Linked DNA regions of Oryzias latipes. The protein of the gene in region 3 interacts with the protein of the main gene of each other region in a pairwise test. Links are inferred from orthologs where the notes say so. Each region holds a gene or a part of one and is shown on either strand. Other genes may lie near its edges.

Region 1 (4,783 bases), on a different chromosome or scaffold from region 3:
TCCAAAAAGTCTTTCAAATTCTCAGGACAGCTACTGTTTATGTGAAGCAATCCACAGTTTAAATGTCTTTTTTCTTTTTAAATGTCTTTTAAATGTTCGATTGCCGCTTTAGGCTAGGGATGCTCCCTGCCGGACACAACTTCTCCCATGACCCCCTACTTAATATGTGAACTGTCTGAGGGGGCATGGAAGGCAGTTCCATGTGGAGAAATGAGAGACCACCTCTTCAGAGCAGTCCGGACTCCATCGGGCCCTTTGGACGGCGGGGGGATATAAGAGGAGAGAGCCGAAACAAGTGTCACCTGACCATACTGTCTTTTCTCTTTAAATTGTGTGATGTGTAGCTGGCACGGTGCGAGAGTGCAAAAGCAGTTTGGTTTGGGAGTGTCTGGATTTCTGTCAAGTCTGAGCCTCGCGGTGAGCACAGCTTTTGTCAGCCTCTCCCCCCCCCCACCATTGCTCCTGCATGCCTGCAGTGAGAGTGAGGTTGGGGGACGTGAGGAAGTCTTGACTTTTTTTTTGTTTTGTTTTTTTTTTAGGTGGGGGGAGATATTTTGATTGTCTTTACCTATCAGGTGTAAATTTCCAGGCACTCAGTTCATTTTGGGCCTGCTCCAGTTTGTCTTTAGTCTGTTCCAGTTCAGCCTTCATTTTGAGGAAAAACAAGTTGATGGCTGGATCCACCATGGACGACCGCAGCTGGGCTGCACTCGGCTGCTGGACTTGCTTCAGGTACTGGATCTGTGTCTGTAGGAGGCAACAGGCAGGTGTTAGAGTCCAGTCACACACATTATGAAGCTGCTTTTAACACCTAAACATCTTCCCTTTAAAAATGTAACAAAACTGCTTTCAAATAGATCAAAATCTAGGCTAATCTGCGTCTAGACGCTTAGTTTTAAGTCCCACTTCGATCCTCTTTTGAGTGATTTTAAAAACTTTCCCAGTGGTCTTGTAATTACGCTTATGTTGTTTTTAGAATCAGAATCACTTTATTGATCCCACACATGGGAAATTTGTGTGTTACAATAGCATTGTAATCTTAAAAGGAAATAGAATATAAAAACAAAGTAATTGTAGAAAAAAATTATGTAAAAAATATCTTTATTTTAAAGGACATATTTTCTGCAGAAAGGCAGTTGTTCGTTAGAAATTTGCCTCTGCTTCTCCACCCATTTGTTATCGCTCTCTCCTGCTAGCTTACAGCCCTTCACAGACTCAACCTAACATTACCAGCGCAACAAAAATCGTGAGCAATACTGGAGCCTTCCAGACGAGTTCTGAGCCTGATGCCAGCTCAGGCGAGGAAAACAAAGACGCACGTGGATCTGCCTACAAGTGGATGGATCAGAATGCAGCAGATCAGAGATCAGTCTATTTTCCTATGTAGCAGAATTTTACCAACCACTCCTGATTCATGATTTGAATAAAGAAATACTTAGAAATGCAACTTTAAGCCTAACTGTCTTTAAATATGTCCTCTTCCATTAGAAAAACCCCACAAGAACATGTCAAAAACACAATTTTCATCCGAGGCTTTAAGTAAAAGCTGCTTTCACTCTAGTGTCGTTTTAAAATAGCAAACAGGCGATTCAGTATCCACATCTAAAAAGTGATAAGAAAGAAAATACTTTAAATATTTGGATGTAAAAGCTTGCAAACCACCACAACTTGTTCTCATCTAGAATGATTACAAACCAAGATGTGTTCTCATTAACACACATTCCCTTTCATGCAATTTATAAATCCTTAACATGTGTCTTGGTAAATTGATAGACTCCAAAATAAAAAACAACCCCCACCTTGTAGGCAATTTGAAAAGAAATATTAATTAAAAAGAATCTAATATTTTGGTGTTTTTATCCCCTAAAGACAGATGCTTTCAGGTTTGTCAAGTTTTTTTAGTGATTCTTATGCTTTTAACATTTTATCTTCAAACTTTCTATCTAATAAAGGCAGAAAAATGTTTAGAAATTATACTGTAACGATACAGAAAGCATTAAATATTTCTTCCAGGTGCTGCAACTTTAGAACAACTCATCTTTTTAGTGTTGCATATTAAAAACCTGAGCGAGAGACTTACTGTGCACTCCTGCATCTCCTGCTCCTTGGTGGCAAGTCGCATGACCAGGATGTTTTCCCTCCGAGCCGACTCCTGCTGCTGCTGCTTTAGCTTTTCCTCAGACTCCTTCAGGCCCGGGACGTCGTTGGCTGAGGGGGGTGGATGATGGGAGGGAAGAGAAACAAACTCATCAGCCGACACTCTGCGATGCAACGGGCTAGATCTATTTTTTAAGTGAACTTACAACACAGCTCTGCATATTTAGTCTCCAAGACCTGGACATATGATTCATGCTGCTTCCACCTGAGGAGAATGAGATCCATGTAAACAGCTCAACATCATCAGAAGACAGGAGGGGACAGGGGCTGTTGTTTACCGTGTACACAGCTCCTCTCTGGTCAAGGTCTTCAAATCAGATTCAGTGAGGCGAACCTGTAAAATAAAATAAAAATAGAATAAACAAAAAGCTGCTTAGACATCCATTACCAACCAACAGCACCCTTAAAGAGTAGTTTTAATCTGGATCAGACTCACCTTCTTGGGCAGAGGTTCTTCGTTGGTCATTGTGCTCTCTAGGAATGAAAATAAGCAGAAAACGTGTTATTTTTTTTGTTGGGCATCCTGTCCTCGCGCTGGCCGTCACGCAGTTAAATATTAGACGTCACGTTTGATCACAGACGCCCTCAAAAATTATTATAAACGGGCCTTCCCGACAAAACTGAAGTGTCAACAGTGAACTGCCATTGCTATATTCAACAAACCCGCGAAACTAAAGTGAACATAACCCGATAATAGGGTATGTCGTGCCGAGTACTACTAACGACTGTTGCAGTCAGCGGCGGAGGGTTTCCTTTAAAAAGTACTCAAGGTTAACCCCTCACTGCTAATAATCGTTTAGCATTTCGGCGACGTAAACACATTTTAGAGACCTGCGATGTTATCTTTCAACGTGTCGTTTATCTAAGCATCAAGTGTATAATTACTTAGCTATGTTCGGCTTCTTGTTATAACAAAATGGCGGTGAAGGAAATGACTCCCACCCCTGCGCTTCTTTTCCTGAAACTAGCGGGCTCTTAGCTGCAGTCACGCGGCCTACGCGATCATAACACTCACCGGGCCCGTTCGCTTCAATGTTTCGAAAAACCTTCGAGGTTTACAGATTCTCTGTAACTGTTTTTAAATGCGTAAAGAGTGGTGGTTGATTAAAAGTTGTGGCCTCGTCTTTAAGTGTTCAGAATCATCCCCTTTACCGAGAGAAGAACAGGACGGCTCTGGAGGATGAGGTGCTGCACTGCACTTGAGTTTCTGCGGAGTAATACCAGCAGTGGACAGGAGAGAAAAGTCTGCTCACTACGCTCACATTTTCCGATCCTAAAATTCCGGACAATCAAAATGGTTGTGATCAAATGTTTTAAGATTTAAAACTGCATTTAGTTCTGTGTTTTTCCTTGAATGTTTCTGGGTTTGCGATGTATTACATTATTAGTTTATCTAAAGAAAACGATCCAAAGCTGTTGACCCAATACTATTCTCAAATGTTGTAATGACTAAGAAAGGGAAATTAATTTATTTCCTTGCTGATGTGACATAACCTTACGCGTCTTTTCATCTTTTTTGCATTGCAAACCAAAAAACTGGATTTACTTTGATCACAAAATTTACAATCACAACAGATCGCATTTAAATTATGTAGAGTGGTTCGTTGTAGATATAGACGATCTTTGGTATCCATTTCAACACAGTGACGCAAAGACCACGTGATTCCAATGGTTACATAGTTATTTTTTAATCGTGACGCAAAGTTGTTACAAATTTTCAACCTTACAAATATTGTATAGTTTAATATGATTAAATTTTGAGTACAATAAACGAAAAGGGCTTAAAAAAATTTTTTTCGCACACATGTGGCCCCATGTTACAATAAATCTTCGGTATCTACCAAAAGACAGGGCTAAGGAAAAGTGGTAAGACCGAGAAATAAATCTCAAAATTTAAAAGATGACGTTGGTTGCAATTGAATTGCCGAAAATATAATTATTATCTTATAAATATATATAAAAATAGTATATATTGCCTTTCAAGCTTATATGAATTTAAGCCATTTTCGATAACATCCCCATATTCTGATAATGGTACGGTCGACTCCGCTGTCAAGTTGAAATTGCCCATTTCAAGGGCAGTAATACCGCCTTGTTTTCACTTTTCTTGGCTCTCTAACCTTTAAGCAAACATGCTTTGCAAAGTCTGGCAAATGCGCAGGTAAGATGTGTCTACGTTATATTTTTATGTAAAGTTCAAAAACTAAAAGAAAATACTTGTATCAGCAGCGTGGAAAACTGTTTGCTTTGTTGTGCTAACTGTTAGCTAACTTCAATGCTAATCTGGTTTAGCTGCTTAGTTAAAAACTTGTGACGTACAACGAAAACAACTCTTAGTATAGTGTAAGCGTTTAAGTATTATTGCATGTACAAATTCGTTCATGTTTTCTATTTCTTACTTTAATTGGTTGGTAAATGTCACTGGCTTGTTGAGCTAAAATCACAAGCTAAAAAAAGGTTATTTGCCACAACGATGTTGAGTTTTTTGCCTTTTCTCCCCCTTCTCAGTTGTGCATCAATCCTGCACCAAACTGTTTCTTGGAAAGTCGGATCATCAAGGCAGAAACACACACTTCCTGACCTGACCTATGATTACGGCGCCCTGGAGCCCCACATCTGTGCAGAG
Region 2 (4,858 bases), on a different chromosome or scaffold from region 3:
AAGATCACAAATCATTGAAGAAAAAAGGTTCAGGGCACTGTCTAGTGGGTCTAGATGACCCAACTCCCAATGTTAAAGTGCCTAGGGTAGCACAAGGGTCAATAATGGGCCTTGAGTCACCGAAACTTTGAAAGCTTCTTCCAAGATAACCATGTAGATGAGGATCTACAAATGACCATATTTCCATGGATTAATTTGTATATATCTGCTAATTCAGTTATTCTGCATTTGCAGGCATGTAGACAGCCTCAGTTTGTTTATTGTAACATTGACTGTAACAGTTTTGGTCAGAAAAAGAATAAAATTAACCAGGAATAACTGTCTTCCTTGGAAACATAGGGGCTATTTGTGAACTTCTGAGTTTTTTGCCCATTACAACATTGTATTGTCTGTAGCGTCTCATCTTTTAGAAAGCGTTGACATTTTTCAGTGTAAAGAGTGTTTGCACAAACGTGTCATTGCCAACATCCAAGATAAAAGGGTTAAAAAAACTTTAGCTCTGGGTTTGATTGATTCTTTATTCTTTAACCTACGTTTGTCAATACTTGACCATTCTGGTTTAATAAAGGTTTAATTTGAACAACGTCACACTGCATTCTGAGTAGGCCTGCACACAATATACCGCAAATTTATCGTTATCGCGATATCAAGCTGTGCAATATGCATATCGCAAAAGTCATCACAAATCGCAATAAATGGTTACCTTAAATATGCTAAAACAATCTTATGGCAGCTTGAAGCATTTAATGAATCAAATAAATCCCTTTATGCATTTGACCAATCGGATGGACCCTTTTATGTTAGATGTTTGCATCCTACCTCGCCGAGGTTCATTTGGACTATACATTTTAAACTGTTGCAGTGAAATGGGAATGATGCTTTTGGTTGTTTTGCTATTTGTTTATTTACCGCAAATGATATCGTTATCGCAATATTGATCACTCATATCGCATATCGCAAGTTTTCTTCATATCGTTCAGCCCCAATTCTGAGCCAATAAAAAATGAGAGCTACAACAAGTGCAGCATCATTTATGAGAATTTGGAAACAATAATTCTACTGAAAAGTGAGCATATATAAACGAGCCACTTGGATCAAAAATAACGTGTTAAACCAAAAAGGATATTCAATATGTTTGTCTGATTTTAGAAGGTGGAATCAAGAGCCCCTCTCCATGATGGGTTATTTTCTGGAGGGTCTAAAACCAAAAAGATTTGTTGGACCATAAGGCAGATTGAGCAATACAACAGTCATTTCATGTGATATAACTACAATAGCCAGAATGCACAAAGTTGGCCTAATGCATAGAATTGGTCAAGAGGGGGTTGATGGAACCTTTTTCTAGTGAACTGAGTTCTTCTCTCCTACCTGCAATAATCAGACTCTGCAGATAAGTCAAACTTTATTGACAGTAACTCTCAACGTTGTTCAGTTGTAACACAAAATACAGAACACTTTTTCAATCCATTATGTTGAAACACAATACGTATCACTTCACTAGGTAAAATGGACCCATTAACCGTACCATTTTTGGGCCCCTGTTGGTTGTAGGTCCATAGAAAAATGGAACAGATCGGTTTGGGCGGAGCTACTGTTGAAACCTGTCGATTGGCTAAAGGTCGTTACAACAAAAGAAAGCGGCTGTGTTCTGCTCTGCCGACCACAATCTTCTCTCAAACGTCCCACATGCGCCGGTCCAACTTTGAGTGGAAACGCTCACCTGAATCGCTTTCTAAACCGGACCGGATCGCTGAGTGGAAACAAGGCTTTAATGCTCCAGGTGCAGCTTTGTAGTTTACCAAAGTCTCTCTGAAGTATTTGGACAGATTTTTGAGCGCCATTTACCAAAGAAAATCGGTTCCACATCAATTAACACAACCAGAATTCATACATACAATGCACTGTTGATTTTAGGAGCGTCTTATGGTCCCAAAAAAAACAAAAGGTCCTTGTGACTAAAACCCAGGAGTGAAATTGGCTACTAGAAGCTATAGAGGAATGCATACTTCTCTACTACAGAAACATCTTTAATAAGAACTGCCTAACCTGTGATAAATCCATGTTGATTTCAATTCAAAATATCTTAATTAGAGTTTATAAGGCACAATACAATATAAAACAAATTATATATTTTTTTAAATCAAGGTTCTGGTTGAGAGAATAAATATCCTGATGGTCCAACCAAAAGACAAGTACACACATAATAATAATAGAAACCGACTTAAACTAACCATCGTCCATTCCTCTACTACAGACCATGACATGGAAGAGGAAAGACAGTTTTCCTGTCTTCTACCTGAAGGAGAAGCTACATAGAATAGGAGTTGGGGATTGAAAGGATGGAAAGCGGGCTGAAGTGTGAAGGAGAAAGGACAAAACTCTGGCTGCAGTCCCGCAAGAAAGAAAAGAGGAGTTCACTTGAAGGAGAGGGGGGAGAGGAAGAGGAGGAGGATTATTAGGGCTAAGAAAAGCTGCAGGGCCGAGGAATGCCTCTCATTGTAATGGGAGTCTTTTATTCTGAAAATATTCCACAGAATCCAAAGTATTTAAAGAACCGCTATGATCTTCATCACTGCGTGGTTTCTCGTTAGAGGAGAAAAAACAACTCAGTGAGTCGTTTATTCCAACAGTTTTGTAAGGAACAAACTAAATAGACAAAAAAATACACATTTAATGTCATTTAAAACGGTTTTTCCTGCTATTTTGGAGCGTTTTTTTCAGCTACTGACGCACTGAAAACTAGTAGGAAAAAATAAATGTGTATATTATTTTTGCCACACAATTTGAATTATATGAGCCTCTGAATGAACGTTTGGTCGCTTAAATTTTAGTTCCTTTACTTTTAGCGTAATCAATCCTTTCATGTTCAGCGCAGGAAGAAGAAATCTCAGCAGCTCACCCAAAGTCTTGGTCCATAGACTTGAAGAAGAACTTGTAGTTTGGCTTGTTCAACACTTGTTTAAAATCCAACAAAGTGATGTTTTCGGCAGCTATCGGTATCTTCACCAAGTACGGCGTCTCCTCCTCGTCGATGTGATAAATTATCTTGGTTTCCGCCATCTCTGCGGGTTTTTGTTAATTTTTTTTCCTTCCCCACAAACCCGCTAACTTCCGACGGGACACACAGCGGTGAGTGTGAGGCGAGGTAGCGTCAACTTTGGGAGCTAGCAAGGAAGCTAACGAGACGTTGGAGCCCGAAAAGGTTACGTTTTCACATAAAGATCTGGAAGGTTCTGCTCCTCGGCTCTTTCTCCGACTTGAAGGAACGAAACGGCGGGCATTCCCCTCTGCTAGTACCGAGGGCCGAAAAGCGGCGGAGGCGCTGCATTCACACGAGCAAAACTCCCAACAACTTTTCCCTCAACAAAAACATACAGGGGAGGAGGAGGGGTGGGAGGGGGCGGGGGGTCCAACAACTTTTTACCACTTGTTGCGTGTGACGTAAGGACGCACCCCCCTTTCTGCTTTACGTACGGGAGGCCCCTCTACTAAGTCCATTGCCCATTACTTTAATTAAAGACATTTAAATAAAAAAAAATCATAAACCCATTGCAACTAAAACCGAACATTGATTAAAAATTATATTAAAAATTAATAGCGTCATAAACCTTACACACATGTAATTATCTGTTTTAGTTTTGATGGTAAAAAAAGGAAAATATTGTTAAATTATTATTTTTTTCTACTAAATTTTATATACACAAATCCAAAGATGTCCCCAATTTTTGTTGAATTTTTTAAAATTGATTTGATTAACTTTCCAATACTAAATTAAAGTTTGTATCTATCTTAAAGCGTTCCGAGTGTCTTTTAATTGAGGCAGTTTTCACACAAAATCTGAAAACCCACTAGCTTCCAGCCCCTCACACCCTCAACCTAACATTACCGTGTAACAAAAATGCCGAGCACCATAGGTTGGGGGTTTCCATGAAAAACAAAAAAGAAAAACACATTTTTGAATGCAAAAGTAATTTCCAGAAATCAAAATGAAATGTTAGTAAAAAGAAACGATGATGAGACACTGGAAAAGGTTTTGGGACATCGCTGATGGACGATGACGTTTGTCCATCATTTCAGCTGAAAGTTATTTGACATGAAGCGATACTGGATATTATCATCCAGTCACCTTTTTCAATTTCTCATCGTGTTTCGTTTTTTAACATTCCATTTTGTTTTCCAAAAATGTAATATCGATTTTTATATATCCGTATTTTGCTTTTTAATTAACGTTGTGATCTCTAGTATGTTTTTGCATTGAGTGATAAGACGGCAGGACTGTACCAAGAGACAATTTAGAGACTCCAATTATCCTATGAAGCATGTTTATGAACTGGGGAGAACATGTAAACAGAAAAGTCCCAGCTGAGATTTGAACCAAGACCTTTTCACTGCAAGGCATGAGTGCTACCCACTACATCACAGTCCAACCGTATTTTTTCCTCTATTTTTCAGTGCTGACATTTGGACTTCGAGTCCATCATAAAATGTACTAAAAATATCAAAATAAACATTGTGGTCATCTGAGTTGTGATAAAAGGTTTCTACTGATGAGTTGTTTTGCTGAGATGTTTTGGGACTGATGGGATTAGGAAGTGAGAATGCTAAATGAAGCAGATAAACAGCATAAAAAGCAAAAAGGCAAATCCATTCACACACAATGTGATTTAAAGAAGGTTTCATAAAAAAAGAGTCCTAAAAATACACTATAATTGAGAAATTTACTGAAATAAACATTGATATCACAAATATACAGTGAACTTACACAAACAGTGTTTTGTCATGTTCCATTATTCATTTTTTAAATGGCATTTATTTGGGTTCTCCTGTTATAACATATTTCTCAAAAAAGATCACAAAG
Region 3 (4,684 bases):
AACAATAAAATAATGGAGGTATGGAAAATGGCTTTTCATCTTTTGGAACATCCTTATAAGCAGAACAAAACTGTTTGTTGTCTCTCTCTAACATCTGTGTAATTGCTAAAAATGCAACAAAATGCAACAAAATAAAGAACTCTGAGAATTCTGATTAATCTAAACCATTGACTGTATGGATCTGGACTGAGTGAGCCCTCCTCTCTCGTGTTCCAAACAGGAAGTATCTGCTGGATCCAAGAAGTCAAAATCCAGTGGACTTCCATTGAGTGGTAAAGAGCTTGATCTTGCTGATCCAAGTAATGTTGAAATTTGTTCCAAACCATCAAAAACTGCATTTTTGTGTCCTTTTTATTAATAAACAAGGATTTGAACAGTTTCTTTTCTGAAAAAAAGAAAGTAATTGTCTTTAGCAAGTATGTGGAGGTTGGTGGGGATTTAAAAACACAGCTACTATCTCAGTTAAAGCATTATATGTTTGCTATTTTTTACTTTGGTTTGAATTTTCTTTCTCTCTAAGGTGAAGGGCTGAGCAACAAATGTAGCTATGGCTAAAACTGGCAAAAATGTTTCAATAAGAAACCTGATCAATCAGCAGAGATTCAATCAATGAGTTTTTACCCAACTTCTGCAAGATGCAGAAGTTGGGTAAAACGCAATGTTGGTATGACGCAATGTTGGTATGACGTCAGTTCAGTGTTTTTCCAATAATGAATGATTACTGATTTATAAATTTTCTTTGCAGCTTATTGAGAAACATTCACTCAGGCCCAGACACAATGTTCAGGCATCAACACTAAAGCATCTTAGTAATGCTTTCAGAGATATCTTAGCAGATGCAAGGTCCAGACAGAGGAAGCAGGAAGTCTTCCCCTTGAAAGCAGAGAAAATCCAAAACATTATTATTATTATTATTATTATTATTTTATATCGTAATGCTTAGGAAACATGCCACAGAGACTGATTGTTGCTCCTTGGATGGAGCAAAAAAGCAACCATCAGCCCTGTTCATCATTGTTCCTGATAGGAGTCATGACAGCAAAAAAAAAAATTCCTAAAATAAATCTAAATCATCTATGGAGACTTTTTGTGTACATTTTGTCTTTTTAAGTCAGGTTAAATTTCAGTAGCACAGGGTAAAAACCTGTTGAAGGAAAAAAGACGCAAAACTGAAGGTAAGTGTCTCCTTGAGCAAATCCCTTCACATGATTCTCTTGATTTCATGAATCTGAAAGTCACCTTGCTAAATCATTAAGTGTTAACATTCTTCTTAAAATACAGTTAGTTGGTTCACCTGTGTGTTTGCGGCTGTGCATCTGCAAGTGAGACAGCTTGAAGTAGCGCTTGTTGCATCCTGGGTAGCCGCACATGAACGGTCGCTTCTCACTGCTTTCTGACCGAACTATTGCAGGAGCAATGCTGGGCACCCGTCGCACATCCTACACACACACGCACACACATTAAAATCAGTAAAGATGGAATAAACAAAGGCCTCCTAGAGACATCAATAACTGGAACCGTAACCTGTAATTCAGACTGCGGGCCGTAAAGTCTGCCCCGTGTGTTAATAAGGCATGTCATTTGTCTGATTGTGGGTTAACTTTAATAAAACAGTCCAATATTCATGAGATTGGAATTAGCTGTCAGATGACCCCAGACTGAATGCAGCCCAAAGGGAGCTGTTAGTCATGCCTTCTAGGCAGAGCGCCATCCCAGAGCCCCCACAGCTCCCTGCAGTCTTGGTCTGAGGACAAAGACAGGAAATGACCCCCATATTTGCATTTTAGCTAACATGTAAAGTCAAAGTTAATTTAACAATGTTATTCTCATATCTGGCAGGTTTTCCTCCCTTATCTCTACTTTCTTTCAAATGTTGCACCTTTCTCCTTCTTCCCCCATGTTGCCTGTATCTCATCTGTTTCCAGCCATCTGCTCCTAATTTCCTCACTGATTAGCATAATGATCACACAGTGTTCAGAGGTCAGCTTTGTTGCAGTTGGCACTCCTGAAGTTGCACTTGATGCAAACTGGAGAGCCACTGACCACAAATTCACAGAATAAAACCTTTAAATTTCAAATTTAAAGTGATCTAAATTTATGATAAGTTTTAAGTTCTAAAGCAGTTTAAATGTGAGATTAGGATTTTATTAAATGAAAATTGTTCATTTTTATCATTCAAAATATACTGACTGAATATATTTATGTTCTTTTGGTTTCTTTTAGAGAAAACTGAAGAAAAATCAAACCAGCGTTAAAATAAAGATAATCAAGGATATTTCATTTATTAACCCCAAATAAGGTCAGGGAAGACATGATAAATAAAACTGTGTTTAAGTTTAACACCATAAAAGAGAGCATAGATATTTTAAAATACCTCTCCTTAACTTTTATTATTTTATTATTTAAACTTAATTATCAATCCATCCATCCATCTTCCTCCGCTTATCCGGGACCGGGTCGCGGGGCAGCAGTCTAAGCAGAGATGCCCAGACCTCCCTCGCCCCAACTTAATTATTTTTTTTCAATGTATTCATTTGCTTGTTTTATTTTATTTTATTTGATGTACAGCACTTAGTGTACTAAATAAAGATTGATTTGATTCGATTCGATAACCTATCAAAGGAGAAGCTAAAGACTTCTGTGGAAATATATTTTAGATATTAAAATTTAAACCTATAGAAATTGAGCTCCATCTAGATTTATTGACAAAAATTAGAGCTGTAAGGAAAGGAAATAAACAAGAAAAACATATTAATCAGTTATTAAATTATCTAAATATTGTTATTGTTTGTCAATTTTTATGTTTATATATTCTCCTAAACTATTCAAACTTGTTTTATTTGTTCATGGTTTGTTTTCTAATTTCAAATATGTATTTTTCTTCATTTCAATTGCAGTCCTCTTTTATTTTGAAAGTCTTCCTGTTGTTGGACCTGCACCTACTTTAGTCTGTCTGAATCCTGTTTTTTTGCTGTGGAATATTTACATCTGATGGAAACAACCAATACTGTTACAAATAAGCTCTTTTTCAAGCTGCAGTTTTTCATCTGCTCCCGATTCACAATTTGAATAAAAAAATACTCAGAAATGCTATTTTAAGTTTTTTTTTTTTACTTATGTCCTCCAACATGAGAAAAGTACCATACAAATATGTTAAAAACTACAAAAACACAATTTCTATCAGAGCGGACCTTTGACTCAACAAATTGCCTTATATTTTAGCAGCTCTTAAATTATACTTTAAAAGGTCTAAGCGCTGGTTTTTATTCTTTTGTTCAGAGCCAGAGTTTGTAAAAAAGGAAAGGAACATGGTGACAAATGAAGCAGAGTCCTGACAGAAATGCCTCCGCAGCAGGTCTGGAGAATCTCCTGCTCCTTGTCCTTTAGAGCCGCTGACAGACAATAATTGAGATCTAATGATTTATTAACATGAAGATCCTCCTATGGAAGCTGTATCATGACAGCGTAGCCCCAAGTGAGTTTGCAAATGGAGCCGTGAAAAGCATGCCTTCTGTCTTTGTGTGCAGCACGTACGTGAAGGTTTTTGTGTGCACGTCGGTACTCTGGTACATCTCAGCATTTTGCTGATAAAGCCTGATTATTGCATTACTCACCATCACATGCTTTTCAGGCATGTGTGTGAGTCAGTGAAGAAGGTGTACAGTAAATGCGTTTGGGATCTATTTCACCCGACGGCGACCTCTCGAACTCGATTGTGCGTGTGTGCGGCAGCGGCAGCAACAGTCCCACCTGAATGCCTCGGAAGACTCCGTGAGTGTGTATGCGGTACTGGGTGCTGCAGCTGTACACCATCGGGGTGCTGGGGTCACTGTCATAGCCAGCTGCATGACTGCAAGACAGAAAGAAAGATGATGCGATAAAATTAACACTTTATAAAATAGGAATGTCTGGATTTTTAAATCATATTAGCCTCTAAGTGCAATAAAAACACACACAAAAATGCTTGGTTTTGAGAAAACTGCACATCGATTCCACAAATTAGAAGAACATTTTACAAAGATCGAGTATGAGCTGCTGTTAGTAAGATGGGGCCAGCAGGGCAACATTATTCAGACATGTTCACCTTGTCAGTTACAGCCCATAATGCAAATCACAGACCAGACATGACTTCTGCTGCACGTTGATAATTCTTCCTCCCTTTTTTTTGTCCGAGCTCAGTAAATTTCTTCTTTTTTTTAAGAAAACAGCTCACCTGGAAGATGAGGAGAAGATATATGCTAAGATGTATGTTCCATCATCCCAAAAGCCACAGAACATGAGGTTGGATTTTACACTTTATCGCCAAAGTGCTACTAATACATTTAACAATAAAATAAAGGTAAATATAATGTGAATTAAAAAAATGTATATGATTTACTGTAAGATCTAAATATAAAGAAAATGGTAATTTTAAATTCACTGATGGAAAAAAAAAGAATAAATTGTGAATTAAAATTCATAAAATACCATCAGAGGACCACAGAGCAAAACGTTCTTTGAGGCCTAAAAACATAAAGTGTGAATGCTCTCTCTGTGTCAGATCAACAAATAACAGTCTAGATTTCTCAGATGATGACCCTCAGTTGTCTGTAGCTCTATGACACAATGTCTGTGGTCCAGTAGACCCACTGCTGCTCCAGTCCTGGATGATTCTTTTGGTTCCATGATGATGAATTTCAAGATA

Evidence for each region.
Region 1: the proteins of wt1 (region 3) and wtap interact in binary tests that used the Homo sapiens proteins (3 or more experiments, as listed by UniProt). The link is inferred for Oryzias latipes from reciprocal best matches to the Homo sapiens genes WT1 and WTAP.
Region 2: the proteins of wt1 (region 3) and dvl2 interact in a two-hybrid assay, tested with the Homo sapiens proteins (2 studies listed by BioGRID and IntAct). The link is inferred for Oryzias latipes from reciprocal best matches to the Homo sapiens genes WT1 and DVL2.

Annotation. Positions count from the first base shown.
Region 1 is NC_019882.2:7,324,859-7,329,641, forward strand, and holds the start of wtap (pre-mRNA-splicing regulator WTAP), read right to left. Parts: upstream 3,393-4,783; 5' UTR 3,310-3,392; exon of another isoform or gene 3,173-3,309; intron 3,120-3,172; exon of another isoform or gene 3,043-3,119; intron 2,632-3,042; 5' UTR 2,624-2,631; coding exon 2,594-2,623; intron 2,492-2,593; coding exon 2,436-2,491; intron 2,363-2,435; coding exon 2,304-2,362; intron 2,209-2,303; coding exon 2,081-2,208; intron 748-2,080; coding exon 569-747; intron 1-568. Other genes in the region: sod2 (superoxide dismutase [Mn], mitochondrial), read left to right, coding at 4,290-4,318, 4,666-4,783. UniProt on the Homo sapiens protein: Associated component of the WMM complex, a complex that mediates N6-methyladenosine (m6A) methylation of RNAs, a modification that plays a role in the efficiency of mRNA splicing and RNA processing.
Region 2 is NC_019876.2:14,921,432-14,926,289, reverse strand, and holds the start of dvl2 (segment polarity protein dishevelled homolog DVL-2), read right to left. Parts: upstream 3,393-4,858; 5' UTR 3,061-3,392; coding exon 2,900-3,060; intron 1-2,899.
Region 3 is NC_019864.2:23,910,140-23,914,823, reverse strand, and holds part of wt1 (Wilms' tumor suppressor 1), read right to left. Parts: intron 3,851-4,684; coding exon 3,751-3,850; intron 1,440-3,750; coding exon 1,295-1,439; intron 1-1,294. UniProt on the Homo sapiens protein: Transcription factor that plays an important role in cellular development and cell survival. Recognizes and binds to the DNA sequence 5'-GCG(T/G)GGGCG-3'. Regulates the expression of numerous target genes, including EPO.